3 linked regions of the Caenorhabditis elegans genome follow. The protein of the gene in region 1 purifies or fractionates together with the protein of each later gene. This does not show direct contact. Each region holds a gene or a part of one and is shown in the gene's direction. Other genes may lie near its edges.

Region 1 (10,305 bases):
TATTTTGAAGCATCATTATATAATCAAGAAAATCGATTTGCTTTGTTCAAACGGCCTATCAAAACAACACACTTTATGCTTAAAATAATTCATTTTCCTGTAATTTTGCAATGCAAGTTAAATCAAATATTATTTTGTATTGAACTTTCGTGGTTTTTATCATAATTCATAAAAATTGAGCTAAACATCAGATTCACTGGGCATATGAAATGCATTTCTCCATGTAAGTATTTAATCTTCTTCTTGTAATTTCATGTTTCGTGTTTTAATTATCCGAATAAGCCAAAATTGTTATCTGAAAATCTGAAATTGAGTTAAAACAATTAATCAGTTCTGAATCATTTACTTGTTTTCTAATTTCGAATTCAGGGTTCAATAAATTACTGGGGGAAATTACAACACTGGAATTTAATTCTACACAGGAGTCAATCAGGGAATGCATCTTGATTACAAAGAAGGTCATGTTGGGGTTAAAAGTTTAGATCTTGCATTGATTCTGCAGAAATTACAACGATAGAGGGGGAAAAGAGAAGTAATACAGAAAAAGTAACATTAATAGTAAGAATTGAATTGATTTACAATTGTTCAAGTTCGTTTATGCACGTGCAGAACGTCCAGAGATTAGTTGTTTGATGACAGATTCGTCGACTAGAGTAGTAGTATCACCGATTCCACTTTCGGATCCTTCAGCAATCTTTCTCAAGATTCTTCTGGTAACCTTGCCGGAACGAGTTTTTGGAAGTCCTGGAGCTTCTTGGATAACATCTGGAACAGCCAATGCACCAATTTTCTCGCGAACTAGTTTCTTGAGCTCAGCCACAAGCTTTTCATTGATTCTCTCTCCAACATTCAAAGTGACGAATGCGTATGGGAAGGATCCCTTGATGTCATGTGGAGCAGCAACAACGGCAGCTTCAGCAACTTTCTCATGAGCCACAAGAGCTGATTCAATTTCAGCAGTAGACAGAAGATGACCACTGACATTCATCAAATCATCAACACGTCCAGTTATCCACAAGTATCCATCTTCATCACGTCTGGCACCATCTCCAGTGAAATAGTATCCATTGAATGGAGCCAAATAGGTCTTGACAAAGCGTTGCTCATCTCCATAGATTCCACGCATCATTCCAGGCCAGGCACGATCAAAGCATAGTGATCCTTCTCCCGGACCTTCAATAACACGACCTTCAGCATCCAAAAGAACTGGAGATGCTCCGAAGAATGGCATTGCAGCTGCTCCTGGCTTCATTGGAGTTGCTCCTGGAAGGCATGTGATCATGTGTCCTCCAGTTTCAGTTTGCCAGTAAGTATCCACAATGGATACATTGGAAAGTCCAACTTGCTTGTACAACCACATCCATGCAGCAGGATTGATGGGCTCTCCAACTGTTCCGATAACCTTGAGAGTTTTGCGAGAAGAGCTGAAAATTAAAAATAAAGATGCTGAACAATTATTTTTGAATAATTATTACCTTTCAAGCCACTGATTTCCGAGAGCCATAAGAGCTCTTGCGGCTGTTGGTGAGGTATACAGCTTGGTCACACCATACTTATCAGTGACATCCCACATTCTAGAAGGAGTCGGATAAGTCGGCACACCTTCATACCAAATTCCCTTGAGCCCATTCATCAAAGGTCCATAAAGAAGGTACGAGTGTCCGGTGATCCATCCACAATCGGCAGTACACCAGTAAACATCGTCTTCTTGTGCATCAAAAGTGTATTTTGTGGTTGCGTAGGCGTACGTCATGTATCCAGCTGTAGTGTGTTGAATACCTTTCGGTTTTCCGGTTGAGCCACTGAAAATTAACAATTTGAATTAAATGAGAAATAAGTAAATTCTAATTCTGAACTAACGATGTGTAGAGAATAAATAGCGGATCTTCAGAATCCATCCATTCTACCGGGGAATCCACGCCTGCACACTTGAGCATCTCCGAATCGTAGATGACGGTGATATCGGTGTAATCGACCTGAAAAATGTTTTTTGTTGTAATTTTAAATGAAAAATCAATAAAACTTAATTTTTTTCTGGTTTTTCTGAATTTGAGACTACTTTGAGCATTTTAGAGCATTAAATTTATTATATTTAGTTACCTTGGGAAGTTCCACTCCATCAGGCTTCGTGACTCGTTTTAAGTGTTCCACCATAATGATAGCTTCCACTTTGACATCTTCCTGCGATGCGAGAACGGCAGCTGCATCCGCAATTGACTTGAGCCCAATTGGTTTAGCTCCTCGAAAAACTCCGTCCGCCGTAACCAAAACTCTGCAGCGAGCGTCGACAACACGAGCGGCAAGTGATTCGGCAGAGAAACCAGCGAAAACAACAGAATGCATTGCTCCGATACGGGCACACGCAAGCATTGCAACTGCTAATTCGGGAATCATTGGAAGATATAAAGCAACCACATCGCCTCGTTTGACGCCATGAGATCTCAGAACAGCGGAGAATTGGACTACTTGGGCGTGTAGCTCGTTGTATGTCCAGGTGGAGGTGTCGGTTGGCTCGTTTCCTTCGAAAATGTAGGCGATTTTGTTTCCATATCCACGTTTAATGTTTCTTTCCAAACAGTTGTACGAGATGTTAGTCTTGGCTCCATCCATAAACTTGACGAAGACATTTCCAGCTTTCGAGTCGAAATTCCATTCGAGACCCTTAGAGGTTCCTTGTTCGAAATGGAGTTCAGATGAGACGGTACGCCAGAACTCGTCAGCATCGTTGATCGAGGAACGGTACAAATCGTGGTAAGATTGAAGGCCAGCACAGTGAGCACCGGCAAGGAGTGGGGCTGGAGGGAGGAAAATCTGAAATCTATTGGTTTTAAAAGTATTCTTTCGAAGAAATAAATTCTTACATCCTCGTCGAGACCTTCTCCATCGTTGGCTAGGTTGAACTTGACGCGAACGTCCGACATGATGAGATGCAATAACCTGAAAATGAGGCACTTTATGATAAGAAAATGCGGTAAAACATGCGAAATATGGCACCATAAACCGTGAGCAGGACAAAGAACAAACACTTGGAAAAGAAAAGAAAATAGAAAGAAAAAAAGGAAAACTGGAGAAAACAAACTCAATAACACAACGCGAGAAATACAATTTCGTTTCGTTTTTTCTTCTATTTATTAGATTTCTCACAATTTGTTACCAGTAAAGTCACGTTCTATATTTCAAACTACTCCTAAAATTCGGTTTGAACAGTTCTCTGATAAACGAATTTCGAAGAACGATCAGAAAACAAATCTACGGTTGTGTGTGATCAATGGGGTCAAACGGTGGACGAAAGGGGACGGCGGAGAGAGGAAAAAGTGAGAGAAAATAAATAAAATTGACCTTCGAGTGCAGAGTTTTGCTGGTATTTTGGTCAGAATTGATTATGAAAATCTGAAAATTACCGCCGGGAAAGTTGAAAATTTGACGTGGAAACGTTTAAAAAAATAAGATGAGAAAGTTAGTACTGTAGATGTCGTCGGATCAAGTGCACAGTACGCAAGCACCGTTACGAAAAATTGCACTAATTGCTCAATTAAATTTTTTTAAAAAATTAATTTTTATAGTGTGTTTTGTGTTTTTTTTCTGCTTTTTTAATGATTTTTAAAGGCTTGATTATGTTTTTTTCTCAAAATTTGAATAATCAATAACATTAATTAATTACTTTATTAAAAAACCACATTTGGCATTTTAATAAAGCAAGTTATCGCGACAAACGGCAAAAATGTCTCTTTTTATAAAAATTGTTTTTTTTTGAGTTAAGAGAAGATGTGGAGTTTTTTGAACTACATTAGTTTTCTAAAAATTTTATCATCTAGATTTTGAGGAAAAAAGCAGATTATATATCTTTAATCTTGGTTTTAAAATTTTTTTAAAAAGCAGAATATTAAAGTAAAATATTATAAAAAGAAAAATTCGTGTTTGCAAAATTTGTTTGAACGGAACCTTGCAAAAATGATATTTAGCAGCTAAACTAACTGAAAACTACTGCATAAAGCTTTCCCAAAAAGAGCTACCATCCAGAAAATGTTTTTTTTTTCAAAGCCGAAAAAGAAGAAAAAAAGATAGAAAACCGAAAAAGCAGCATCGTTTTCGCGCACTCTTTCTTCTTTTTTTCTTTCTTTTTCTAAAAAAAAATATTCTCCGTAGCTTGAAGTCTCAGGATTTCCAAAGGGAATTTCCTTGATAGAATATGGAAAAACAAGAGAGTCATCAGAGAAGGGAGAGGAAAAGCGGGGATGCTGGCGAAGACCGGGGGCACCGACTGAAATATAGGCACCGGCGGGGAGGCGGGGCGCTCTCTCCTCTCCGCTTTACTCCGCCCCGATTGTCAGTGGAGCAGGTTTGCAATGAGTGTTCTCTGATGCCCCCTCAGCGCGGGAGTTTTGAAATCAAATATTTTGTATTTTAACCTACTTTATTGATTTTTCAATTAAAATGAAATGTTATTTGTTTAAAATTTAATTTCAGATGGCAGATGTTGCACTGAGGATCACAGAAACAGTGGCACGACTGCAAAAAGAACTGAAATGTGGAATTTGGTAATTTATTTTCAAAAAATCAACAAAAAAACCTTAAATTGGTTTTTTTTCAGCTGTTCAACATACAAAGATCCAATTCTGTCCACATGTTTCCATATTTTCTGTCGTTCTTGCATTAACGCTTGCTTCGAACGAAAACGAAAAGTTCAATGCCCAATTTGTAGAAGTGTACTGGATAAGCGAAGTTGTCGAGATACTTATCAAATTACAATGGCTGTGCAGAACTATTTAAAGCTATCAGAAGCATTTAAAAAAGATATTGAGAATATGAATACGTTCAAGTCACTGCCGCCAGAGAAAATGTTCATGGAAAGTCAAATGCCGCTGGATATCACGATTATTCCAGAGAATGATGGAAAACGATGCGCTCCAGATTTTGCTATACCTTTTTTGCCAGTGGTATGCTTTTTGGCACAAAAAACCAATTAAAACCAAAAGAAAATCACTAAAAATATTTCTAAAATGTCAAATAAAAACATTTTTCACCTTTTTTTGTGTCGTATAGCGATTAAATCAATTTTTAATAATTTTATTACACACTTTTTTCATCGATTTGCTAATTTCTGACTGAAAATCATAGCGGACTGCGAAAAAATTTCGTCAAAAACACGAAAAAAGCAGAAAAGAAATATTTTTTACTTTTTTTTTGTTTGGAAAACTGGACTCTATAGTTACATTTTCTAGTGTATTTTTTTGGGAAAAAAAATTAAAAATGCAATACAAATTGCTAATTAGCTAAATAGTTGAAAAATTTTGAGTTTTTGCATAATTTAGTCCGTTTTTCGAAGTTATCATTAAAAAATTCGGCCTTTTTGGGCTATTTTGACTCTATTAACATTAAATCTGTATTTTCAGCGCCGAAAGCGACCGAGTCGACCACAACCGCCGAGCGCATTCGCCGAGGAGCCTGCAGAACCGGTAGAACCGCCAGAACCAGCCACAAAACAACCTGTAGAGCTCCAAAGTCGAGTATTCCCGCTGGAAAAATTGAAAAAAGACGTGGAAACCTCTACAGAAACGTATAAAATATCAAGAGAAGAACTGAAAAATGTTGATATTGAAGAATACATAAATACCCTCCGAGGTTGGTCAAAAATCAAAAAAAAATTCGCTAATTTTTGCCAATTTTCCAGAAAATTCGACAGAGATTGATGAAATCGATGCACTTTTCCAATTAATGCCGACGATGCGACAATTTCTTCGAAATGTTTGTGATGATTCGGGCTTATTTAGAGGAAAATAATTTTTGAAATAAAATATTTTTTGCAGAATATCAATCAGCTAATGGAGAAATTCCATGTGGCGCCACCGAAAAAATCAGAGAAACCAGCGAATCGAAGAGTATCCTTTGCGAGTTCTCAAGATCTTGAAAACATAAAAATTATGACAGCTTCTGAATCGCTGGAAACTCCTCCTGAGCCAATCCAAAAACTAGCCCAAAAGCCTGAAGTTTTCAAAAGTACTCAAAATTTGATCGATTTGAATCTAAATACTGCAGTGAAAAAGCCAGTGGTCGTAGCATCAGATGATGATGAAGTTGTAGAAGATTCTGAAGGAGAACTACAAATTGATGAAGATGATCTGGCAAATGTTACCTGTGCTACAAGTGTAAGAAATATAGGAAAATCATTGTGTGCAGAATATATCAGGGGTGTGCGGCAAATTTGCCGAATTTGTCGTTTGCCGAGCTCGGCAAATTTCAAAAAAGTTGATTTGCCGAATTTGCCGAGCTCGGCAAATTTCGAAATTTGCCGCACACGTCAAAAATTTGACAGTACAATTTCGACTAAAACTACTGATTTTTTCGCCAAAAATTCAGTAAAATGACACAAAATTGAGTTATTTTGATGCTTAAGCAGACATACTACACGGAACTGATTCCGAAGCCAGATGTGTGTTAAGAATTCGGTAGTTTTGGTGGTCCAAAAACATCAAAAAATATCAAAAATTTCCGAGTTTGTTAAGCACGGCAAATTTGCCGAATTTGCCGAATTAGCCGAGCTCGGCAAATTTGCCGAATTTGCCGTGCTCGGCAAATATTGAACAAAGAGATTTGCCGAATTTGCCGAGCTCGGCAAATTTTGCGATTTGCCGCACACCCCTGGAATATATGGTTTTCAACAGAAAAATTCAATTTTAATTTTAAAAAAAGTTGAATTGTTTTATAAAAAAGTGCTGAACCCGAAAAAAAAACATAATTTTGAGAAAATGCAAATATTTTTTCATTCAAAATTTCCATTTTTGTTATAATTTCGAGCATAACTTTAAAGAAAAAATTTGAAAATAAATTTTTAAGCAATTTTTTTTTAAATATCAGGTTGTCCCATAAGTTTTTGTACTTTTTTTCAAATATTTTTCCAAAACTTCTAGAAAGTTTTAAAATTTTTTCATCGTAGGTCGTGTCAAGGTCGGGTCGTCCCCTTTCAGAAAAGATTCATTTCATCCATTTCTACTTTGCCACGATGACAATCATCAAACTTGAACGTCGAGACGTTAGATTGCTTCTTCTTTATGAATTTCGTCTTGGTCATTCAGCAATGGAAGCGGAACGAAACATATGCGGTGCGATGGGTGAGGGAGCACTCTCTTATAATACAGCAAAGAGTTGGTTTCAAAAGTTCAAGAACGGCGACTTCAGTCTCGAAGAAATAGAACGTTCTGGGCGACCGGTAGAGTTAAATGAAGAAGACCTAGTGAAGCTGGTGGAGGAAGAGCCTCGTCTTAGTCTTCGTGAAATGGAAGAGAAGCTTGAGTGTTGTCATAGCACAATTGCACGTCACTTGGGTCGCCTTGGTTTTACTTCAAAACTTGGAATTTGGGTGCCTCATGAACTTTCGGCATCACAGAAGCTCACTCGGGTCAACGTTTGTACTCAACTTCTAACTTTTCGTCGAAAGTTCGATTGGCTGAACAATCTGGTTACTGGAGATGAGAAGTGGGTGCTCTATGTTAACCATTCCAGAAAACGTCAATGGCTTCCGATCGGTGAGAAAGGAATACCGACGCCAAAGCCTGATCTTCACCCAAAAAAGATTATGATCTGTGTCTGGTGGGGTGTTCAAGGACCCGTGCACTGGGAATTGTTGCCAACTAATAAAACTATCACTGCTGATTACTATTGTGCCCAATTGGACCGAGTTGCAGAAAAGACCAACGGAAAATATGAAAAACTATATTTTCTTCACGATAATGCTAGGCCTCATGTCGCCAAGAAGACTTTCCAAAAGCTGCAAGATCTTGGTTGGACTGTTTTACCGCATCCACCATATTCTCCAGATCTTGCACCAACCGACTACCATTTGTTCTTGTCTCTCAGTGACTACATGCGCGACAAGCAATTCGACGACGAAGAGCATCTCAAAACTGAACTCTCCACTTTCTTCTCATCGCGTTCGCCGGATTTCTTCTCCCGTGGCATCATGATGTTACCTAGTAAATGGCAACAAGTGGTGGACACTAATGGTGAATACTTGTGTGAATAGTACTACTTGTCGCTTGAGAGAAATAAATTTTTTTCAAAAAAAAAATAGTACAAAAACTTATGGGACAACCTGATAGAAAAATCGAAATATTATTGGAGATATCGGAAAAACTAAAAATAATAATTAAAACAAAAACAAAAATATTCCAATTTTGAAAAAAAGCCAAATAAAAATTATTTTTCAGTCAACTACCCTTGACGCCGACCGTACACCGAAAGCAATTCAAGATGACGAAGATCGAATCGACGATGAGTTGTCACAAGTACCAAAAACAATTGTTTGCTCGAGAATTCATAATGATGCGGACGAAGTAGTGGGACTGGTGGATGTTTGAAATTCAAACATTTTCTTATTTTTCAGGAACTTCTCAGCGATTTCTATCACAAATTCTTGTCAAATGCGTGCCGATTTGCGGAGGATGTGAATGAGCACACGACTCATTTGGTGATGATGAATAGTGGTTCGTTAAAACTGTGAAATTTGGAGGAAGACTTTTTTCTTAGAGATATTGTTCTCAAAAATAATCTGTGAAAAAAATTTAAAAAAAACCATGATTTTACCAAATTTTTGCAAACGGCAGAATAAAAAATCGAACCATTTTGCAGAAAAATGGTTTTTTTAACGCTTTTTAAAAAATCCAAAAATTGAGAATTTTAGATTTTTAAAATGATGCAATTTTTTGGTTTTTTTCCCAGATATATTCGAAAAACCGAAAATTAAATTTACAAAAAAGAGAAACAACGGTTTCATAAAATTTTGTACATTTTCTTCCAAAAATTAAAAAAAATTGCCAAAATTTTAAGCTATTAAAAAAATCTAAGTGTGCTCAAAATATCGGAAATTCGAAAAAACAAAATTCTCGTTTTTCGATTTTCCGCGCGAAATTTTAAAATAAGTTGGATTTTTTCATCGAGAAAAACCTATTTAAAACCGATTTTTAGTTCAAAATAATTTTTAACTAATTTTCAGAAGGCCGTTCAATTTCTCAAAAATCCACAGCATATCTCTATGCAATTGCTCGAAAATGCGTTATTGTAGGACGTCAATGGCTTGTAGATTGTATAACAACGGGTCTTTTACTGTCTGAGGTAATATTTTAATTTTTGTGTTTCATTTTAATTTCCGCTTTAAAAAAATGTTCCGATGAGATGGTCTGATACAAAAAGTGGTGAATTCTGTTGATAAATGTGTGCGATCTCTGGTCGAATTCTTTCAAAATTCACATGAAAATGAGTTTATCAGAGCAGAGTACACACACACCCAACATGCTTGTGATTTTGAAAATTATCGGAATTAATGTTCATTGAAATTGTTTATTTATTTTGGGTGTTTTTTGAGATTGTGCATAATTCGAAAAACGATCAGATTTAAAATGAAATTGAAAGGTTTTAATATGGGGTGAGCAGGGACAAAATATGGAAAATGTTGGAAATATGGGGTGAGCACGGGGGAATTACACTGCAACTTTTTTCGAACGAGGGACGAGGCAAAAAGGTTTCTAGGCCATGGCCGAGTCCCCGACAAGTTTCAGCGGCCATTTATGTTGCTTTGTTTTCCGCGTGTTTTCTTTCGTTTTTCACCAATTTTCCCCATTTTTTCTTATTAATACTAATAAATAAATATTTTTTGCAGATGCTAAAACAATTTCCAAGTGAAAAAATTGTGTATTGAGTCTGTAAGTAGCGGTGAAAGTGGTCAATGCAATATGATGGATTACGGGAATAAAAAACCCAAACTTTTTCCCACACATGCTGCTCTGATGCTGAAACTACCTGATTTTCATAACGAGATCACTGAAAAAGTTTTGAGGTTTTCAAAATTCAACTTTTTTGGTGAAAAAGTAGAGATTTTCGCATAAAAAGTTGAATTTTGAAAACCTCAAAACTTTTTCAGCGGTCTCGTTATGAAAATCAGGTACTTTTAGCATCTAAACATCTATGTATCATGTTTGGGGAAAAGTTTGGGTTTTGTATTCCCGTAATCCATCATATTACATTGACCACTTTCACCACTACTTGCCGACTGAATACATATTTTTTTCATCTGGAAATTATTTTAGCATTAGGAAAAAATATTTATTTATCAGTTTTAATAAGAAAACACGGGAAAAATTGGTGAAAAACAAGAGAAAACAAACACGGGGAGGCAAAGCTAACGTGGCTGAAGAAATTTCTACAGTAGTCCCATTTGGCTGACTGAATATTCAACGCGAATAAGTTTTGTACACTATTGCGTACTTTGCGTACGCGCATTTTATTTGACGACAATTCGTCAATATCAGCTCT
Region 2 (9,327 bases), on another chromosome or scaffold:
CAACTAATGAAGTAAGTATGAAATAATAAGTTGCATAATTTGATCAAATACTTGTAGCCATCCACAAATGGTCCTCCAATGATGAATCATTCACAACGGGGACTTTGTAGTGTACGAGAAGAAGATGAAGAGCTCTCTGATTTTTCAGCTTCATCCACTAATTATGGAATGTCTAGAATCTTTGAACAACCACCTAGAAATGGTTTGAATTCTCAAGGGTTTTAAAGTTTTATTTTCAAAAGTTGAAGTGTTCTCTGCATCAACGTCGGTTTTCGATTCGAACTCACTTCCATATAATCTACAATGGGATATTAATTATTTCACGGATCCTTCCATGGTTCTTGCACAACTTGGATGCAGTGAATACATGACTCAGTTGAGAGATCAGGAAGTTTGTTTCATGCACATTTGAATAAAAGTATTTTATAATTTTTAGATCGACATGCATGCTTTTTTGCTGCTCGACGAGCAGAATCTGAAGGACATTGGAGTTTCCACAATTGGTGCCCGCAAAAAGATTCATCACGCAATTTTGAGTTCGTTTTCTTTTCTCTGCCTAGTATGAGCAGAAAAATAACAAAATGAGCGTTATAATATTTCCATGGCAACTTTTCCAGAGCTCCGCGACTCGGCTCGACTTAACGGATATGCAGTCTAGTCTATATTTTCGACGATTCAATAATTTTCGGGGTGAAATCTCACCGGTTTTCCTAATAAATCCATGATTTGCTGTTTTTTCAACTAATTCTTAAACAATAATGAACTTTTCTTTTTCACATAGAATACGAATTGGACTTTAAAGACAATACTTTATTCAAAGCGTACAGTTCCATTAGCTCTCCATGAAAAACAACTCTATATTTAACTCATCAATTATTTAATACGAATTAATTTACCATACATAAATATCAAAAATAAGGCTTTGAGTATGCGACATGGAAAACGTAAAGAGGGGATCGGCAACTAAATTATCACGAAAAGATGTGAAATCAGAAATTTAATCCGACAAAATGCATGATTCTCTTTTTGATCCCACTTTGAGCAGGATTAATAGCTACGGCGCTTGAAGTTTCAACACTTGAGGCAGTAGAATTAGTGTGATCTGCTCCTCCGTTGATTTGTTTTTTCGCACCTAAAGCTTCTTCCAGCGTCCCTGCAGCTTCCTCTTTTCCTTGCTTACGATAAACTGCTGCCAAATTCTTTATAGTTGACATCACATTGCTGAAACATAACAATGTAATCATTAATAAACTAATTAAAGGCAATAACCTATCCATCACAGTTGTCGGGTTCACATTAAAGGATTCATCGTCAACCTTCGGAATCCCATTTCGCTGTCTTTCTTCGCGATCTTCAGCGATTCTCCATATTGGTTTGTTTCCGGTGATAGCAACTTTCGAGAGAATGTTCTTGTACATCTCTTCAGCCTCTTGATACTTTCCTTGCTTTAAGAAAACAGACGCCAGTTGGTTTTTTGTCTTAATCACATTTTGATGATTTTCCGGAAATGCACGATTATAGATTGACAGAGCTTGTTTGAAATAGTTTTCTGTTTCTTCATACTTTTCAAGCTGTTGGGTGACAATTCCGAGGTTTGTGAGCTGTTTAGCAACATCCGGATGATTGGGTCCTAGAAGATTTTTCCGAATTTCGAGAGCTCGTTTGCACAAAGGCTCAGACTCCTTGTACTTTCCGCGTTTTCCATAAGCGATTGCCAAGTTGTTTAGCGTTGCCGCCACAGAATGATGGTTCTCTCCACAACATTGTACACGAATGGATAAAGCTTTTTCCAAATAGATCGCAGCATCTTTGAAATTTTCTTGATTTCGGTAAACTATTGCCAGAACATTGAGCATCGTAGCAACATCCAGATGAACATTCCCGTGAACTTTCACGACGTCTTCCAGAGCTTGCTTGCATAGCGGTATCGCAACTTCAAATCGACCTTGCTCCATGTACTGTATGACCAGGTTTTGTAACGTTTGCAGGCGAGTCGGTAATTGGTAATCGTTACTGATAGGATTGGAAAAAGACGATGAGCGACATCCCTGATCGGCTTGATCTGCAAGATAAAACAAGCATAATTCGTAGCACAACAAATAAACTTACTGTTGTTCTGATCCTCTTCCTCTGGTCCGAATCCAAGTTCCTGTAGAGTGTCTACCATCATGGGCGTGGCATCGACGGAGGTAGTGTGTTGCTAAACGCGTTATTTAATCCCAATCACAAGATAAATGACTTACAAAATCACTGTTCAGGTAATTCATGGAATCTTGAAACTTGTAGTGATCCCTTTCTTCCTCCAAATGCGCGACAGTCCTCTCCGATTCTTGAAGCTTCCTCTGTGTGGTTGTCAATTCATCAAGAAGCCAGGTGTTTTCCTGTCTCAGAAGCCTAATACTTTCATGGTTTTTTGACAGTTGAACATCGTATGATTGCATCAATTTGTCCATCATGATGAGCAGAGATGCTTCATCACCACCATCCATAACTTTCCCAAGACTTTCATCAATCAAGCCCATCTTTTCACTGGGCAAAGAAGGTTCGGATGAGTCTGAATCTGATAGAAACTTTATTCGTACTCATTCCGTAAATCGTCTTACTAATTAAATTAGCTTCCAATATCCTTGTTGCAGCCTCGTGTTCATCTCGCAATGCAAACAACGTTTGTTGGACCGTCTTTAAGACAGTTGTGATATCGTCACCCAAGGAAATAACCATCACTGTTAGAGGAATGAGAAGCCCTGAAAATTGTCTCGTACGGATGATGAACGTTAATTTTTCTTAAATTTAAGAACAATAAAAACAATAAAAACAAATCACAAAACAAAACCAAATTTATGAAATTTAATTTCATGAAAATGAAATATTTCAATGCGTTGAATTCAATTGAACAAAAAGACGACGAGATAGATGTGCAGGTGTGCCGACTACGGTAGCACGAGATCCAGCAGCCTGACAATCGGCGGGTTTTCGAACAACTGTTTTCAAGTTTGCACAACAATTTCTCGTAATTTAATGTGAATTTTCGATTATTTTAATGTTTTCTAAAAAATTTTTGTTGTTTTTATTAATACCTTCAACGTAATATGGGATAGACAAGCAGTATGCCATTTAAAAATATTTTTTGATTGGAAGAGCTTTCCATATCTCTTGGCGCCATTTCGAACGCGGCAAAATACAGATTGTGAAACAAGGGCGGTCCATCATTCTTACTCATTTTCTTCTAATTTCTTCAGTTTCTTTTCAGTTCGTTTGCGATGTTCCTTATTTTTCTTCCTGCTCCAACTTCTGTAGTTCGTTCTGTTGTACTTGTTTCCAATTTTTTAAAGGTTTTCCTCGCTGAATTCGTATTTTAAAAATAACTTCAACTCCACATGTGAGTAGTGATTAGGGAATTTAGTGCTCGATCAATAATTTGAACAACATTTTTGCAAAACTTATTTCTCAAAATTAAAGTCACTTCCGAAGTATGATTTGGCCTATTTTATACCTCTTTGTTTTCGTTGTCCCACGTGACTCATATAGCACGAAATAAGAAAACACACTCAAGTTCATTCGTCCTAAAATTTTATAAATTCCGCGTTCAAATTTCAGTCATCTAGTAACCATCAGAAAAGTGCAAGTTCACTCACGTCCACACTGAATTGAATCAGTGGAATCACATGATCAACTGCTTCTCTCACTCTCTCGCTTTGTCATTAGATATCTCTACCTCTCTGCGTTTCGTGTCTAAGTGCTTATAGTTTCACTTCTCTCCGCTTTCAATCCCCATTGCGATGCGACTGCAGCATTGCAGTGAGTGTGATGGTCGTCTCAAGACCCATGGCGCTGCGTATCGATCGTTGCCTCGTACCCTCTTACGTTTCCTGTGTTATTTCTGTCTCTGTCGTTCTGACACTTCAGCGCTCACCCCGTCGCTCATTTTCACTCACAGACAGCACACATTCTCACTCACTCGCAGCCTATGGCCATTTCTTCCTTCCTCACCATCTCGTGAGGCGACAAGTCGCGTGTCTTTAGTCGATTTCAGAGTGATTATCTGGAAATCATTTGTTTCAATCAGAAAATAATACGTACATGCCGAATAGTTTTTTAAAAAACTAACCAGACAATTTGTGATACGTCTTGAATTTTAATTTTTGCCCAGTCTCGATTCATTGTGAAGAAAATTTTACAAGATTTGAATCGCTTGCTTTTTGTGCGTAATATTCCAGTCCATTTCTTTTAAGCGTTAAAATTTTTTTCGAGTGTCACTGGCTTGTAGCCGTAAAAATGTGTCATATTTGTCATCATTTCTCATCGTTAGTTATTTTATTAGGAAATTTCCGAAATTTATGTTATTTTGGTTTTCAAATTTATATCTGTTCTATTTTTCCTCATTTTTCGCTTTCTAGAATGTTCCACTAGTTTCGAAATGTGACGTAACAGTTCACCACGAAGGGCAAACTGAGTACTTTGTACCGCCTCTAAATATCGATTTTTCGCCGCGCCGCGCCGTACTCTTTATGTTATTTCATGCGAAAATCCTCACTTTCAATTTTTCCCTATAGCAGAAGCTCAATTTCACCGTATTTATCGAAATTTATTTTCAGAGTACTCCGGGTGTAGCCGGGTCAATCAGCAAATCAGAACACCAACATGGCTCTCAAAAGAATCCAGAAGGTAAGGTTTCAACACTTAACAACAATAAAATTATTATGTACGTTTCAGGAACTCCAAGATCTCGGCCGTGATCCACCCGCACAATGCTCCGCTGGACCAGTTGGTGATGATTTGTTCCATTGGCAAGCTACGATTATGGGCCCACCAGAGTCTCCCTATCAGGGAGGTGTCTTCTTCCTCACTATCCACTTCCCAACAGACTATCCATTCAAACCACCAAAGGTATTGATCGAAATTGGAAAAAAATAAATTTAATTTGTTTTCTTCAGGTTGCCTTCACCACTCGAATTTATCATCCGAACATCAATTCAAACGGAAGCATCTGCCTTGACATTCTCCGTTCGCAGTGGTCGCCGGCTCTGACCATTTCGAAAGGTTGATATTATCATTATTGTTCGCGTTCTAACTTTTAATTTTCAGTTCTGCTTTCGATCTGCTCGCTGCTCTGTGATCCAAATCCGGATGATCCACTTGTGCCAGAGATTGCACGCATCTACAAGACGGATCGTGAAAGGTGAATTTAGATTTTCTTTTAACTACTAAAAATAATCGATTTTCAGGTACAATCAATTGGCGAGAGAATGGACGCAAAAGTACGCTATGTGAGGAGGCTAACACCATTCATACAAGAACGCAGCCAAACCAATCAATAAACCATGTGTTTCTTTTCCCTCTCTGTGTCTCCCATTCATCTCCAAACCCTTTCCATCTTATTCAATCCACACCAAACCCCGGCGATTCCTCTTTTGTACTATAAATTGTGTTCTCTTTTTATCGATTTTGTTCTCCCCCACACATTATTCTCCTTCAAAAAATACCCACTTTCATATTATTTTCTGTCGTCAGCAAAGCGATGTAAAATATATATGGTCTTTTATATTTCTTCCTTATAATTCAAAAGTAAATCGAACGGTGTAGATTGATCCCCTCAATTCTCTCTCATCCCCTTTAAACTATTTTGTCTCCAAATCTCCCTCCTCCCTTCCTCTGATTTTTCTCGAGAAATTGAAAAAGGATTTCTTCCAAACCACCACACATTCGTTCTTCGTTTATTTCATCTGGCGGTCTGAGAATCCTGAATAAATTACTGAAGAGCGTCTATTATTCTCGACATTGTTTTTCTTTCAGAATCGATGGCCACGTTTGTTCCCTTTGTTACTTGTCTTGATACAGGTTTTTGGAACGAAGTGAACAAGAAAAAGCTCAATGATTGGAAACTCGATGAGACGCCAAAGTGTATCTCAAGTCAATTATCGCTTCGTAAGAATTGCCTATATCCGTATCAGATGATTTTTAATTTAAATTACAGATCAAACCGAAGGTTTTAAATGTCATCTATCCTTAAGTTACGACAGTTTGAGCAGTTTGGAGAGCACAACTGGATTGTCAATGTCCGGTACCCTTCTTCTGTACAATACAATTGAAAGTTTCAAGATGGTTGACAAAAGTGATTTGATAAGAAGTGAAGCAGAAAAGGTAGAATAACTTTCGTATAGTTAATCAAAATCGTCAGCAATTTCAGATCTGGGAATCTATCACAACTCGAAAATGGCTCCAAAATCCTCGTCTTCTGTCGCAATTCTTCATCATCGCTTTTGCTGATTTGAAAAAATTCAAATATTATTATTGGACATGTGTTCCTGCTTTGGTATATCCTAGTGAAATAAAACAAGAGGTTGAAAAATCTTTAAAAGTCTTTGAAGTTCGTAAATTCTTCGGTTTCAGATCACACCACTATCATCTCTCGGAGCCGATCACAAGATCCTGTTCGACTTTTATAGGAAAAACAATTTTCCGATCTTCCTATACTCCAAACAATCTTCAAAAATGCTCGAACTGTCAGAATTGGAAAACAACACAAATCCTGACGAAATATGTGTTGTTGTCGCTGATCCTTCTCCTGTTGCGTATTCTGCAGGATGGATGGTTCGCAACGTTCTTGCCGCAGTGGCACATCTTCATCCTACGTGGAAGCATTGTCATATCATCAGTCTTCGTTCAGCTGACAGTATCGGAATAAAATACACATGGACCTTGCCGAGTGCTGAATGCTCAGCAGATGGAGCTCAGAATGCTGTTCCAAAAGCTGTGGGATGGGAAAGAAATGCAAATGATAAGTTGCAGCCGATTTCAGTAGACTTAAGTAAAGAGTTCGATCCAAAAATATTAATGGAAAGATCTGTGGATCTTAATTTATCATTAATCAAATGGAGATTGCACCCAGATATTCAATTGGAAAGATACTCACAGCTGAAGGTATATATTTAAATTTTAAATTTTATATTTTGTCATATTCCAGGTTCTCATTCTTGGTGCTGGAACGCTTGGATGTAACATTGCCCGTTGTCTTATCGGATGGGGAGTTCGTCACATTTCGTTTCTTGATAATTCAACTGTCAGCTACAATAACCCCGTTCGCCAGAGTCTCTCAGAATTTGAAGATGCACGCCTGGGTCGTGGAAAAGCCGAAACAGCACAAGCTGCTATCCAACGCATTTTCCCATCGATTCAAGCAACTGCTCATCGTCTCACTGTTCCAATGCCTGGACATTCTATCGATGAAAAAGATGTACCAGAGCTGGAAAAAGATATTGCAAAATTGGAGCAACTTGTGAAAGATCATGATGTTGTTTTCCTAGCATTAGATTCAAGGGAAGCTCGCTGGCTTCCAACAGTTTTGGCTAGTAGACATAAGAAGATTGCAATTAGTGTCGCGATTGGATTCGATACCTACGTCATCATTCGGCATGGAATTGGTTCTAGAAGCGAAAGTGTTTCAGATGTTTCATCATCAGATTCCGTACCATACTCTCAGCTTTCTTGCTATTTCTGCAGTGATGTAACTGCTCCAGGAAATTCTACTTTCGATAGAACATTGGACCAACAGTGCACTGTGAGTTTTTGAACTTCCACACCTCTATTTCAAAACGGATGCTTTCTTTCAGGTTGCACGACCAGGAACATCTATGATTGCATCTGGAATTGCCGTTGAACTCTTATCGTCTGTTTTACAATACCCTGATCCACTCAAGACACCAGCCAGCCACGACGATAATACAACAGTCCTTGGAGCTGCTCCACATCAAATTCGCGGTTTTCTGGGAAGATTCCAGCAGGTATAATAATTGTGTTCTATTTGCTTTAACTTCGTTAATTTTATTTTAGATTCTTCCTTCTGTAAAACGATTCGATCAATGTGTTGCTTGTGGAGACGCTATCGCTGCACAGTTTCAGCAAAATGGCTGGAAGTTTGTTCGCGACGTTATGAACTCGCCAGGTCGTCTCGAAGAAGTCACCGGGCTCGACGAGCTTCAGAACTCTGTTAATGCTATTGATATCGATTTTGAGGATGATGAAGATTTCTGAATTGGTCGCCTCAAATTTTTACCTTTTCTGTATAATTGACTGTGCATTGACTGTACTCTGACACAATTTTTCATTCTCGTGATTCTATTTTGCCTCCAAATTTTAATAATACTTGTATCAATAAATTTTGGGTAAATTCTATTAAAACCTTCTACTGAAAGTTAGCATGAAAGCACTAAATGATTTATCTCGTTTTATAAATAAGATGTATTTTCAATAATTTATCTAATTTGAGCCGGCAATGGCACGACACAAATGTCAAGACTGCGGGAAAACGTTTGATTTAAAACGGTAAGAAAAGCCTGAAAATATATTTTAATCTTCTATGATGAATTTCAGATATCTAACAAAACATGAATTACGAATGCATAAAAATGTTGTGAAATCGAAGAATGACAGAAGCGCTTCAGATCCACTGAAATGTAGTATGTGTGATAAAGTATGGAAATAATTCTTCATTAAAAGTTATCCAATAAAATATCCAATAATTTCAGGTATTTCCACGTCTTTCTCATCTTCAGCGTCATCAAATGACACATCTTAATGTCAGAAATTATTCATGTACATTTTGTGAAGAGAAGTTCGTACAAAAATCACATTTAACTCGCCACGTCTCTCGAAAGCATTCGAATGCTCCTGGAGTAGAAGTTGACTGGACAGCGTGTGACAAATGTGGGCAATTATTCAAGACTACTTATGAAATGAGAATTCATCGACAGGTACCTTCTATTCAACACGGATGAAACAAGTTTAAAATACCTACTTTACAGACATATCACGAACTTCACAAATGTAAACAATGCCAAGAAGTAATAGAAGCAGGAAGTGATGGTTTACGGAAACATCATATGCAATGTAGAAAATACTCAAATGTTAGTTACAGGTTTTTTTTTCAAAAAATATTTAAACACTTTCAGGTTTGTGATGAGTGTGGAGCATCTTTTTCTCGGCCTGCAGACTTGGTTTCCCATGAGACTTCTTGTCTTAAAAAGTTCGCATTTGTCTGCAAACCATGTGATTCATACTTTCGACAAAGAGTTCAGGTAATTTCTTAAAGTTGGTAATTTCTTAAAATTTGGGATTTTGTTCATTAAAAATCTAAGATAGTCCTACGTTCCGAATAGCCACAACAGAAAAACGAAAAAAAATGCATTAAATTAATTTAATGCATTGATAAATTACCAAAAAAAGCCATTTGATTTTGGCGAATTTTCAATTTTGGCTAAATAGTTATTTGAATTTTCGTGCTTTTGTCTCGAAATCCGCCAATTTTACCGTACCCAATAAGAAAAAATT
Region 3 (10,525 bases), on another chromosome or scaffold:
AGCCCGGGCCTAAAACTAAGCATAAGCCGGAATCCAACAAACATAGCCCCCAGGAAATGCCAATCTGAGAGTTTAGTTTTCCCCAAGTTTGAAAATTTTAGATTTTCCAAGAAATGAAGTGTTTCTTTAAAATACATTTTTCCATTGAACACGTCCACCGGAAATGTGTCTGAACCTTTTTTTTTTGAAAAGTTTGAACTCGTTTTTGGAAAGCTCACATTTCCAATTCTCGCCCACATTCTTGAGTGTGAGGGGTCACTTGCAATGTTGCGGAACTTTGAAGAATGAAAATGTGTCGATTTACGCAGTTCGTGTACTCCTCGAGGAAAAGTCTACAATTTCTTTTGCGAAAAAATACAAAAAGCAGCACATTTTGACGAAAAAAAAAACTATTTATAATATTGCGAAATTGCTCGTAAATCTACAAAATAAAATGCTGGCCTAGCTTTTTCTCTTCCACTCTTTAACCTAAAAACCCCAAAACAATTTCCAGGCCACGTCCGGGACAAATGTCATTGAGCAACACACGAAACTGTTTCTTCTCGCCAATGGGATGTGTCTTCGTACCAAAGATGTCACGAATCCGGAAACTTTCAGCTGACTTTCGCAACGAAATCCCGCCACCCGACTACATTTGATCTATTGCTGCTCCACCGCGCGCCACGTACATCGCCACGTTTTCTATCGATTGGCGTGTTTTTCGCCGTATGATCTCTCAGTTCGTTCACACATTTCACGATCTCTTTCTTCTAGCAGTTCTTCTCATTTTTTTTAAAGTTCGGCATAAATCTACCATGTTATTTGAAAAATGTGATATATATATATATATATATTGCACATAGAAAACAAGAGAAAAATCACAGACAGATCGGGATTGAAAGCAATCAAAAAATGCATATATATAGCAACAATAAATAAAAAATGTTAAAATTAATATAGGCTATAATTCATCCTTCTCATCGTCATCGTCTCCATCCTCATCTTCATGAGCTTGCTGTTCCGTTGCTTTCAAGGCTGCAAATTTTGAAAAAATGAAAATATTCTACATTTTATTGATGAATTTCTGAGCAAGCGCTGTTAACTGTTTAATAACCGTATAAAACCAATAAAAAAAATTTTAAAAATTGTTCAATATCCTAAAAATCGCTTGGCCTCGTCGGGAATTGTGTCAGGATTAACATAAAGATCGACAAGAATCAGGGCGACGATGGTGATTCCCGTTAAAACATAGAGCACTGGGGATCCGTGCCAAACGACGAAAGTGATGATGATGATGAGAGAGGAGAAGGCAATCAATTTGAGTTGCTGGTCGATTGGCATGAACGGGCGATCAGGAGATGCTGAACCATGGTGAATAGAGGAAATTGGAACTGGGTGAAGGAGCCCCTAGGGAACATGCAGAAGCTTCAGACTTTGTTAGGTTTACTTATATAACGCTTTCAATCTCTCTACAGAATCGTAGAAATCTCCATCCGATCTAGGAAACTTGAGCGCTTTTTCCTACGCTTTTTCCTACGTGGCCTAGAAAAAGTAAAAACTTGGCCAGCGATTTATCTTGAATTTTTCACGTTAGATATTTTTGGAGCTCCAGCTGAAGCTTCCCCACAACGGTTTTGAATGGCCCTAACTCTTTTTATGAGGGTGGCCGAGTTTTCTTATATCACGGCCACGTAGTAAAAACCGTTCTGTGTGTGGGGTTTTGTGAAGAGGACGTTATATTCCTGGTGCACAAAACTCTGAGAATGCGTATTGCACAGCATATTTGACGCGCAAAATATCTCGCAGCAGAAAACTACAGTAAGATGACTACTGTAGCGCTTATGTCGATTTACGGAAATCATTTATTAATCGATCAAAAATATTGAACATTTTTGAAAAAATCACAAAAATTACAATTTGAATATTGCTGTCACTTTTTTCCCGAAAATCGAGCCCGTAAATCGACACAAACGCTACAGTAGTCAATTACAGTAGTTTTCGTTACAAGATATTTTGCGCGTCAAATATGTTGTGTAATACGCATTTTTTATGTTCTCGCAATATATTTTTTGAACCATGATTTTTCAGAAAAGCTCGTCCCTTTTTTTTGGAAATTTTTGTTTTTAATGCAATTTTTCGATTTTTTTTTGAAAACTGAAATTTAAATTAGATTATCCAGAAGTAAACCAGATCATGCTTTGTTAATACCACATTCAAATTGAAGAAAAAAAAAACGAACCTTCGACGTCAAATTGACAATTTTGCTCATCATCCTTCTTATATCCTTCCTTACATTCACACTTGAACGATCCGACAGTGTTCACACAAATTTCGTGCTCTTTTGTGCATGCGGACTCGTTTTGGCATTCGTTGACGTCTGAAATAAGGATTTTTGATTAATTAAAAGTTAAGATGGCGGTTCAAAAATTTAGAATTCTAAAAAAAAAAAATTGAAATTCGCATTGAATTTTATAGATTTTTGCATAGTGTTTCGGCAATTCTGCAAATTTTAATTTTTCAAATAAAATGTTTTTCAGCAAAAATCTGGTCTGGAAAATGTTAATTTTTCTCTATAAACCAGATTTTACTTTTTTTTGAAAATGACACGAAAAATCTATGCTTTTGTGAATTTTCCAGGTGAAAACTTCAAAATTCAGAGCTTTTTATCGGAAAAATCACGAAATTTTTTCACTTTTTCCAAGCAGAAATGGGGAAAAATCGCGAAATTTGTGCTCTCAGTCCCAGTTTTTTTTCACAATTTTTTGATTAGATAGAAAAACACGAAAAATGGAGATTTTTCAAAAACTTTTCTTTTTTTCAAGAATATTAAATGAAAATTCAATTTTTTTTTCCAACTTTTCTCATACCTGCGCACCCTTCTTCTGTCAATTTCCACCCATTTTTACATTTTGAGCATCCTTTTGAGCTCTCCGATGAGCAAACTCCAAGGCAGCCCTCGTGGCATTCTGAATTTTTTCAATTATTTATTTTTTCGATTTCAAAAATTAAAAAAAAAAAAACAAACTTTTACAAACGACACCCTGCACTGTCCGAGATTCTTCGAAATACTCGATATCACAGTATCGGCATAGATTTCCAGTATATCCAGTCTCACATTTACACTTTCCACTGCCTTCGCGGCTTCCATCTCCCTGAAAATTGGATTTTTGTTGGTTTTTTTAAAGGGAAAAATTAATTCTCAATTTTTCAAGATTTTAAAGAAAATTGACTAACATGACAGGATCCTTTTCCAAAACAGACATCAGCTTTTTCACTTAATCCAGGACATTGTTCGCAGTTTTTACCAAAGTGTCCATCAGGGCAGCACACTGAAATTTTTTTATTTATTTTTTGCTATTAAAAGTTTGGAAAATATTATAAAATATTGCTTAAAGGCGCACGTTATTGTTTAGATGGGTCTCGCCGCGAAAAAATATAATTACGGTTTTTTAAAATTAAATCCGAAAATTAATTTTTTTGCATTAATTTTCGCTTAAAGAATTTCAATTTTCAATCACAAATTTCTAGTAAATCGAAAAATATTAATTTCTAGCTATTTTTAATCAGAAAATTGTGAAAAATCGTATTTTTTCTAATAAAACTACAAAATTTTCGCGCTTTTCACAGTAAAAATAGAAAAAAAACTCAATTTTTAGTATGAAATTTGCAAATCTTTGGCGATTTTCAACGGGAATAATAACATTTTTAAGTTTTCTGGCGGAAATTTGTTGAATTTTGCGATTTTTTTGCTTGAAAATTCGGTTTTTATTGAAAATTAGGCTCTCGAAAAATTTCAGACTGGAAATTCAATTTTTTATTGATTTTTCGGGGTATATTGTGAAGAATCTAGTTTTTAAAATGTTCGTTTTATTCGCGATTTTCATTTAGAAAATAGCGAAAAATTCAATTTTTGAGGCCGAAATTCGCGAATTTTCAATGGAAAATGCGTTTTCTTTCGATTTTCATACGTTTTTATAGTCAAATTTAAGAAATTTTTACATTTTAACTGCTCAACACAGAGCCAATTTGACATATTATTGTGTTGCTGGTTGTAGTAGAACTCTTCAATTGTTTCTTCATGCTTTTCAAGTTGAGTAGAGCACTGAAAATATAGAAATTACAGGGTTTTTATTAAAAATTTAATTTTTTGAATACTTTAAACTCGATTTCTGCGATTCCCATAAAATTGTCCATATTTGGGAGCGACGATTTCTTGCAAACACCTTCGAGAACTTCGATTAGCCGGGTTTCACTGAAAATTTTGATTTTTTTTTTAATTTAAAATATTTCCAGCGCCAAATTTCGAGAAACCAACCTAGTTTTGTACTTTCCCAGATTTTTCTCTTCCCAAGCTGTGTCTCCACCGGCAAAATGATGGCGAGCCGTTTTTTTGAGACCCTGAAATTCGGAATTTCTTTTTATTTTATATTTTTAAATTCATTTAAATATAAAAATAGAGCACAAACCTCATCAAATGTGCTCACTAGAAAATTACACGTCCTGCATTTTTCGTTTTTGATGGTGACTTCTTTTTGTGACGTGGCACCAATTAATACAGCAAGCAGGAGCAGTATCCGGCTCATTTTCACCCTGAAAAATGGAAAAAATTGGATTTTTATGTAGCTTTAAGACACGACAAACCGTTATTTTAGAGAAATTACACGCAGAATAAGCGAATGAGCGCGGCCGAATGCACTGCAAATTGTCTACGTTGTCCAGTTTCTCGGCCCTGTGAGCGGAGAAAAGAGAGGGAGAAAAGAAAAATGAACAAATATTGGCTTTGACCGGGATTACTAGCAAAAGAGGTGACTGATGGAAGAGGGAACAATTAAATATTAGAAAAATTCGAAAAAGTTAATTATTTTCGCTGGAAATCACCTTAATTTGGGGAGTTTCGAAAGAAATTTTGATAAAAATAGAATTATCCACTTTTTATTTCGTGAAAAAAACAACAATTTCGACTGAAAATCCAGCTTTAATTCGAGAAATAACAAATATTTATTTATTTAATTAAATTAAATTAAATTAAAGAAAATAATTGAATTACTGTAGTGATCGTTGCGGGACCCGATGAACCGAAATCGGTATGCGCCTTGTAGTTACGGTAAGAAAAACGGGCGGTGTCGAGAATTTAATTTAAATTGCATTTCCAAAACAATTTTCCTCGTTTGAAAATAAATTTTACGAGTTTTTGGTTAGTTTAAATGCTAAAAACTTGATTTAATTTAATAAAACGTACCTAAAAATTCAGTTTCGTAGCAGAAAACACGAAAATTTCAGTTTTTAGTAAAATTTTCGGAATTTCTATTTTCAAGTCTTGTTTATAGTTACTTTTTATGGTGTTCAATCAACTTTTTGAAGTTTAAAATGTTTAAAACGTTTAAAATTACTTTACAAGAACCGAAAAAAACCGAAAATATTTCAATTTTTAGTTTTTCAGCAACCTTTTCTTAAATCAGAAATAATTTTATGAAATTTTGGTTCAAATGTCCACTCGATGGAGATATTACAATTCAAAACGCGGGAATGGATTCCGCGGTCGAGGCAGAGGCCGAGGTCGCGGTACAAGCTTGACCGCCGTCGCCTTACCCCGTGATGATAATTTTCACAAGGGAGCTCAGGATGGCGCTTATTTCAAAGGTTAACTCTAGATTATTCCTATTTTCTTTAAATAATTTATTAAAATTGCAGACATGCCGATGGATCCGGAGCAATTTCGGGATGAAACGGTGCTCAGTCTTTCTTTTGCTCAAGGAATGCTCGGAGCTGCCTACTACGAGCAATCAAGCCAGTTGTTGAAGATCATGAACGATATTTCAGAAGATCTTGAATTTAGATTCTTGAAGAGATGTCAGTTTTAAATCCAAAAAGCTTGAAATTCAACTCATTTTTTTCAGTGATAGACGATGTGAAGCCGACGCTAATAATCGCAAATAGAAGCCAGGATCTCGAATTTATCAAATTTTTGACCACGCGGTGTATGAAAATCATTATAAAAATTGAAAAAAAAAGATTTTTTTAAAATTTTTTTCAGATGATCCACAGGAAAAAATCTATGAAGACGGGACTACAGAAGAAGGAACATCAGAGGATACGGTTCCGACATGGGATTCTTCGCTAGCTTATTCTACTGACGAGACAACGGCGGAAAAAGAAGAAAAAGAAGAAGACGAAGATGATGATGACGAAGGATTACCGGCGAAGCTTAATAAGCTCCCGAACAACTTTTTCAGTTGCTTAATAATCTCCAAACATTTTTGATTTTAAAAATAAATTTGCAGGAATGTCGCGAGCTATAGAAAGATTAAAGGCGATGGCCGGGTCCCATGACAGTTCGATGACGGAAGAGGACAAGTACATTATCATCAAGATGAGATTTGATATTGAAGCTGTTAATATGGTTAGCAGATCTCTGAGCCAAAAAAAAAATTATTTTCCATCTTCAGATAAGATCATTTGGAGCACTTCTTCTTTTCCTCGATGAAACTAGGATGGGCGTGACAGACGATCCTTTGTCAGTCACTTCACCTATCAAATCTATCAAGACATTTACATTGTAATTTTACTATTTTTTGTTTTTTATTTCCCTTTGAAACAAAAAAAATCATTTTCTTCTTTTTCAGAGGAAACCTGGTAGAAATCGATTTCAACACAATTCAGGCGCTGGATATTCTGCCAAAGGAAACCGAGAATAAGAAGACTTTCGGACAAGGTAGATCACTTTATCAGTTGATGGATAAATGTAGATCAACCGTTGGAAAAAAGTGCCTTCGAAAATGGTTTAGAAATCCGACTACGGATAGAGATGATCTTGTGTCAAGACAAAAATGTGTGCACTACTTCAAACAGGTGATAATCTTTAAAGTGGAGTACCGAAATCTATGGGAAATATTTTTAAATCACTCCAAATTTTCCCCTGATTCCGAATATCTAAGTGAAAAAATATTTTTAAAAAAGAGATCCCTGATTTTATATTTCAGCTTGAAATCGCGATTTTCAAACGCAGAATTTTCGCGCCAGAGACGGCATGTGTCGATTTACGAGATTTGTGTATATTTACGAGATTTTCAATCTTTATCAGATGCTGATTTTCATTTTTCAACGAGTTTCTTTCATTTTCGTCGGTTTTGCCAGGTTTTTTTTTAAAAGAAAATGTGTTTTTAAGGTAAATTAAACATTATATTATCGAAAAACTACAAAAGTTTCGATTTTCTGTCGGGAAAAGAAATTTTGATAGATTTTTGTTGATATAATGTTTAATTAACCCTAAAAAACGCATTTTCAAAAAAAACCTGGCAAAAACCGACGAAAATGAAGGAAACTCGTTGAAAAACGGAAATCAGTATCCGATAAAGTTTAAAAATCTCGTAAATCGACATGTGGGGCGTCTCAGGCACGAAAGTTCGGCGTTTGAAAAGTCTCATGGGGACGCAAATGAAAATCGCGATTTCAAGCTGAAATATAAAATCAGGGAAATTTTTTTTGAATTTTTTCACTTAGATATTCGGAATTATGAGAAAATTTAAAGTCATTTAAAAAAATATTTTTTGTATTTCGGTACTCCACCTTTAATAAATTATCTTTTCGTCAAATATATACATTTTTTTCTCAAATTTAGGACTGGAACGCCGAAGTGACCGCTAAGTTATCATCAATTCTTGGAAGAGTGAAGGCTCTGAACGTATTAAATAGCAATCAAGTTTAATTTAATTCATTTTTGGCCGATTTCAGAGTGTATTCCAAAAATTTCAAAGTGGAACAGCTCAGCTCATTCATTGGGAGTGCTTCGTATCGACAGTCAACGCGCTTGTTGAAATCTTGAATATTATCAGGCAGACACCGGTAAATTCAAATAATTAATTTTTATAAAAAAGCGAGGTTTCAAATAATTTTTATTCAGATTTCGAAGGAGTTTCCTGTAGAATCAGATCTTCTCCGAGAAGTCTCTGAAATTGCAGTCATCGCGGGCTCCATTGTATGTTGCCAAGTGTTTTCTAAAATACGGTACCTGGTCTCGACACGACAAGAGAAGAGTACTGTACTTTCAAACTTTGTTGTCGCTGGCATTTTCGTTAACAATCTCGTGTTTTAACTCTTTCGTTGAAGTTTTTTAATCGGAAAACTGTGAAAAATCGATGAAAATTCCAGAGCAAAAAAAGTTTGCGATTACAGTAGTCGAACCACATTTATCAAAACTTTGCCGTGCCGAGACCAGGAATAAGATTTAAATCAAACTTCAAAAATTTCAGATCAACTTCGCAGAGTCGAAGATTCAAGGAAGAGTGACAGTGATGAATGGAATCGATGAAGAATTGGATGAAAGTATTTTTTTTAATTGTTTTCAAGCCCTTATTTTATTATTTCTTCAGTACGCGACACATATGAGAACATGCCAATGGTGCTCACTGCAATTGCTAAACAGGAAGAAGCTCGACTTGGTCTACCACCGTACTCTAATGTGGCGTGTGTCTACATACCACTCGTCGGATTTGTTCTTTCAGTTCCAAGAGATTACGGTGTGGAATCACAGCCTGAGTAAGCAATTCAAATCAAAATGAAATCACGCTCCACCCCTAAACGTTGGGTCTCGTTAGGAATCAACGGAAAATCCGATTTTCAAGCATTTTTGACCTTTTTTCAATTGTTTTTCTAGTTTTTATGCAAAAATAGTGCTAAAAAAGTGCATGTAAAATTGGACTTTGAAGTAGGTTAGTTTTGACGTAAAAAATAATGGAAACAACGGAAAAATGGTGGAATTGTCCAAACTGATGATAATAAATTCATAGGCAAAACTCATCTTCATATGCACTTTTCAAACATAATTTATACATGAAAACCATTAAAAACGGTTGTGAAATTGGCAAAAAAAAATGAAAAATCGGAAATTTGCCGAAAATGAAAATTTCCGGCAAATCGGCAAACCAGAAAATTGCCGGAATTGGAAATTTCCGGCAATTTGCCGATTTGCCGAACAGCAATTGCCACCCATCCCTGGTTCTCATCATATTGTAATTTCACAGCATGACTCTACTATACTCCACACACGAAGACTTACGAGTGAGAAATGCCACAACATCAAGATTAGACGACGAATTTGGAGATATTCTAATGAGATTAATCGACAGCCAGACTGCAATCATTCTCACTTTGAAGACAAGAGTGATGAAGAAAAAGCGAAGTATCATTAAACTTCTCTCTATTGCTTCTAGAATCGATGTGCTCATTTCGTTCGGCCTAATTGCTGCACAAAACGGATGGAATTGTCCTGCTCTTGTAGATGAGCCCGTGATTGAAGCCGTCGAGCTATATCATCCGATTAGTGTTCTAGTTGTCAAGAAGAGTTTCGTACCGAATCAAGTTAGTAGTGGTCGAGATGGAATTAAAGCAAGCATTATAACAGGACCAAATGCATGTGGAAAGAGTGTCTACATGAAATCAATTGGAATCATGGTTTTTCTGTCTCATATTGGAAGTTTCGTGCCAGCTAGACATGCGAAAATAGGAATAGTCGATCGAATTGTTACCAGAATGTTTACTGTGGATTCAGTTCTCGATGGGATGTCTACATTTGCAAAAGACGTAGAACAAGTTGCGTTGGCATTGAGGAAAGCTACTGGCAACTCATTGGTTATCATTGATGAGTTTGGAAAAGGAACAATGACAGAAGTTGGACTTTCTCTTTTGGCATCTGTCATGACTTATTGGATGAATAGGGGAGCTGATCGATGCCCTCATATATTCCTATCGTCACATTTCCACGCGCTTCCAAATTATATTCCTCTTGAAACTAACATTGCAACTTTCTTGGTGAGTTTTCTGTTTTTTTTTTCTTTGAAAAAATTTGTTAAAATAATTCTCTGAAATATATATATTCATTCCTAGACGTTCACAGTTCTCCGTGAAGCTGGTGGCAAGATCAAATACCTTTTCCGTATGACTCCTGGCTTGGTTGATTGCTCGTTCGCACTGTCGGTTGCTAAAGAGGAAGGAATTCCGCCACCTGTAATTGGAAGAGCTTGTCGAATTTATAAAGCATTAAAAGCTGGAACTCTACTCAAAGAAATTAAGGCAGAAGTTTCGAATGACAATGAAAAACAGCTTGTGGAAGACATGGATGTTGTTCTGTATGATTTTTGAAGTATTTAATGGAGGAAAATGACCAAAAATATCGGAAAAAAGCAATTGCCGTTTGGCAAATTTTTTGTCAAAAAATTCGGCAAGTTGCCGGTTTGCCGATTTGCCGGAATTTTTCAGTTCCGGAAATTTGCCGGAAGTTATTTATTTAATAAAACGGCAACACTTAAAACTGTGCCTTTAAAAAATAAAATTACCCGTTTTCTCTAGATATTTTCTTAGAATTTACTTACTTTTCAAAATTCATAAGATGCGTACAATTTCACAATCGAAAATTCTGAACCCCTGACAAGTCTTTTCAAAATTTAAAAAAAACACTTAATTTTAGCTAAAATACCCCATTTTGCCAATTTCTAATTTCCTTTTCGAAACGGAAAAGTTGTCGAAATTGGAGATTTAAGCTAGAATCAAG

Evidence for each region.
Region 2: the proteins of brc-1 (region 1) and let-70 purify together in Caenorhabditis elegans (co-purification; one study listed by BioGRID). This does not show direct contact.
Region 3: the proteins of brc-1 (region 1) and msh-5 purify together in Caenorhabditis elegans (affinity purification with western blotting; one study listed by BioGRID). This does not show direct contact.

What each region holds. Positions count from the first base shown.
Region 1 is NC_003281.10:3,857,121-3,867,425, reverse strand, and holds the start of brc-1 (Breast cancer type 1 susceptibility protein homolog), read left to right. Parts: upstream 1-4,467; coding exon 4,468-4,538; intron 4,539-4,591; coding exon 4,592-4,937; intron 4,938-5,393; coding exon 5,394-5,622; intron 5,623-5,671; coding exon 5,672-5,745; intron 5,746-5,807; coding exon 5,808-6,146; intron 6,147-8,204; coding exon 8,205-8,333; intron 8,334-8,380; coding exon 8,381-8,480; intron 8,481-8,989; coding exon 8,990-9,108; intron 9,109-10,305. Other genes in the region: acs-19 (Acetyl-coenzyme A synthetase), read right to left, coding at 596-1,424, 1,476-1,802, 1,861-1,976, 2,101-2,811, 2,862-2,921. UniProt on the Caenorhabditis elegans protein: E3 ubiquitin-protein ligase that specifically mediates the formation of polyubiquitin chains and plays a central role in DNA repair.
Region 2 is NC_003282.8:11,077,522-11,086,848, reverse strand, and holds let-70 (Ubiquitin-conjugating enzyme E2 2), read left to right. Parts: upstream 1-4,595; 5' UTR 4,596-4,641; coding exon 4,642-4,665; intron 4,666-4,713; coding exon 4,714-4,887; intron 4,888-4,934; coding exon 4,935-5,040; intron 5,041-5,085; coding exon 5,086-5,179; intron 5,180-5,225; coding exon 5,226-5,271; 3' UTR 5,272-5,763; downstream 5,764-9,327. Other genes in the region: bcc-1 (SAM domain-containing protein), read left to right, coding at 1-11, 58-202, 249-391, 437-536, 618-658; klc-1 (Kinesin light chain), read right to left, coding at 990-1,221, 1,270-2,062, 2,110-2,200, 2,244-2,560, 2,604-2,744, 3,078-3,114; atg-7 (Ubiquitin-like modifier-activating enzyme ATG7), read left to right, coding at 5,799-5,925, 5,975-6,141, 6,188-6,340, 6,391-6,921, 6,965-7,558, 7,611-7,781, 7,831-8,031; Y5F2A.4 (C2H2-type domain-containing protein), read left to right, coding at 8,273-8,322, 8,371-8,470, 8,526-8,750, 8,802-8,903, 8,949-9,074. UniProt on the Caenorhabditis elegans protein: Catalyzes the covalent attachment of ubiquitin to other proteins. Mediates the selective degradation of short-lived and abnormal proteins. Plays a role in the DNA damage response.
Region 3 is NC_003282.8:13,149,768-13,160,292, forward strand, and holds the start of msh-5 (MutS protein homolog 5), read left to right. Parts: upstream 1-5,465; coding exon 5,466-5,619; intron 5,620-5,670; coding exon 5,671-5,829; intron 5,830-5,876; coding exon 5,877-5,957; intron 5,958-6,013; coding exon 6,014-6,211; intron 6,212-6,260; coding exon 6,261-6,379; intron 6,380-6,425; coding exon 6,426-6,535; intron 6,536-6,602; coding exon 6,603-6,828; intron 6,829-7,597; coding exon 7,598-7,660; intron 7,661-7,710; coding exon 7,711-7,821; intron 7,822-7,879; coding exon 7,880-7,954; intron 7,955-8,228; coding exon 8,229-8,301; intron 8,302-8,348; coding exon 8,349-8,514; intron 8,515-8,999; coding exon 9,000-9,786; intron 9,787-9,861; coding exon 9,862-10,103; intron 10,104-10,525. Other genes in the region: nlp-79 (Neuropeptide-Like Protein), read left to right, coding at 494-638; Protein disulfide isomerase crld-1, read right to left, coding at 1,129-1,340, 2,219-2,356, 2,847-2,945, 3,005-3,131, 3,214-3,308, 3,979-4,081, 4,135-4,231, 4,295-4,377 and 1 more. UniProt on the Caenorhabditis elegans protein: Crucial component in meiotic recombination, functioning at some point after the initiation step of recombination. Plays a role in promoting the crossover outcome of meiotic recombination events.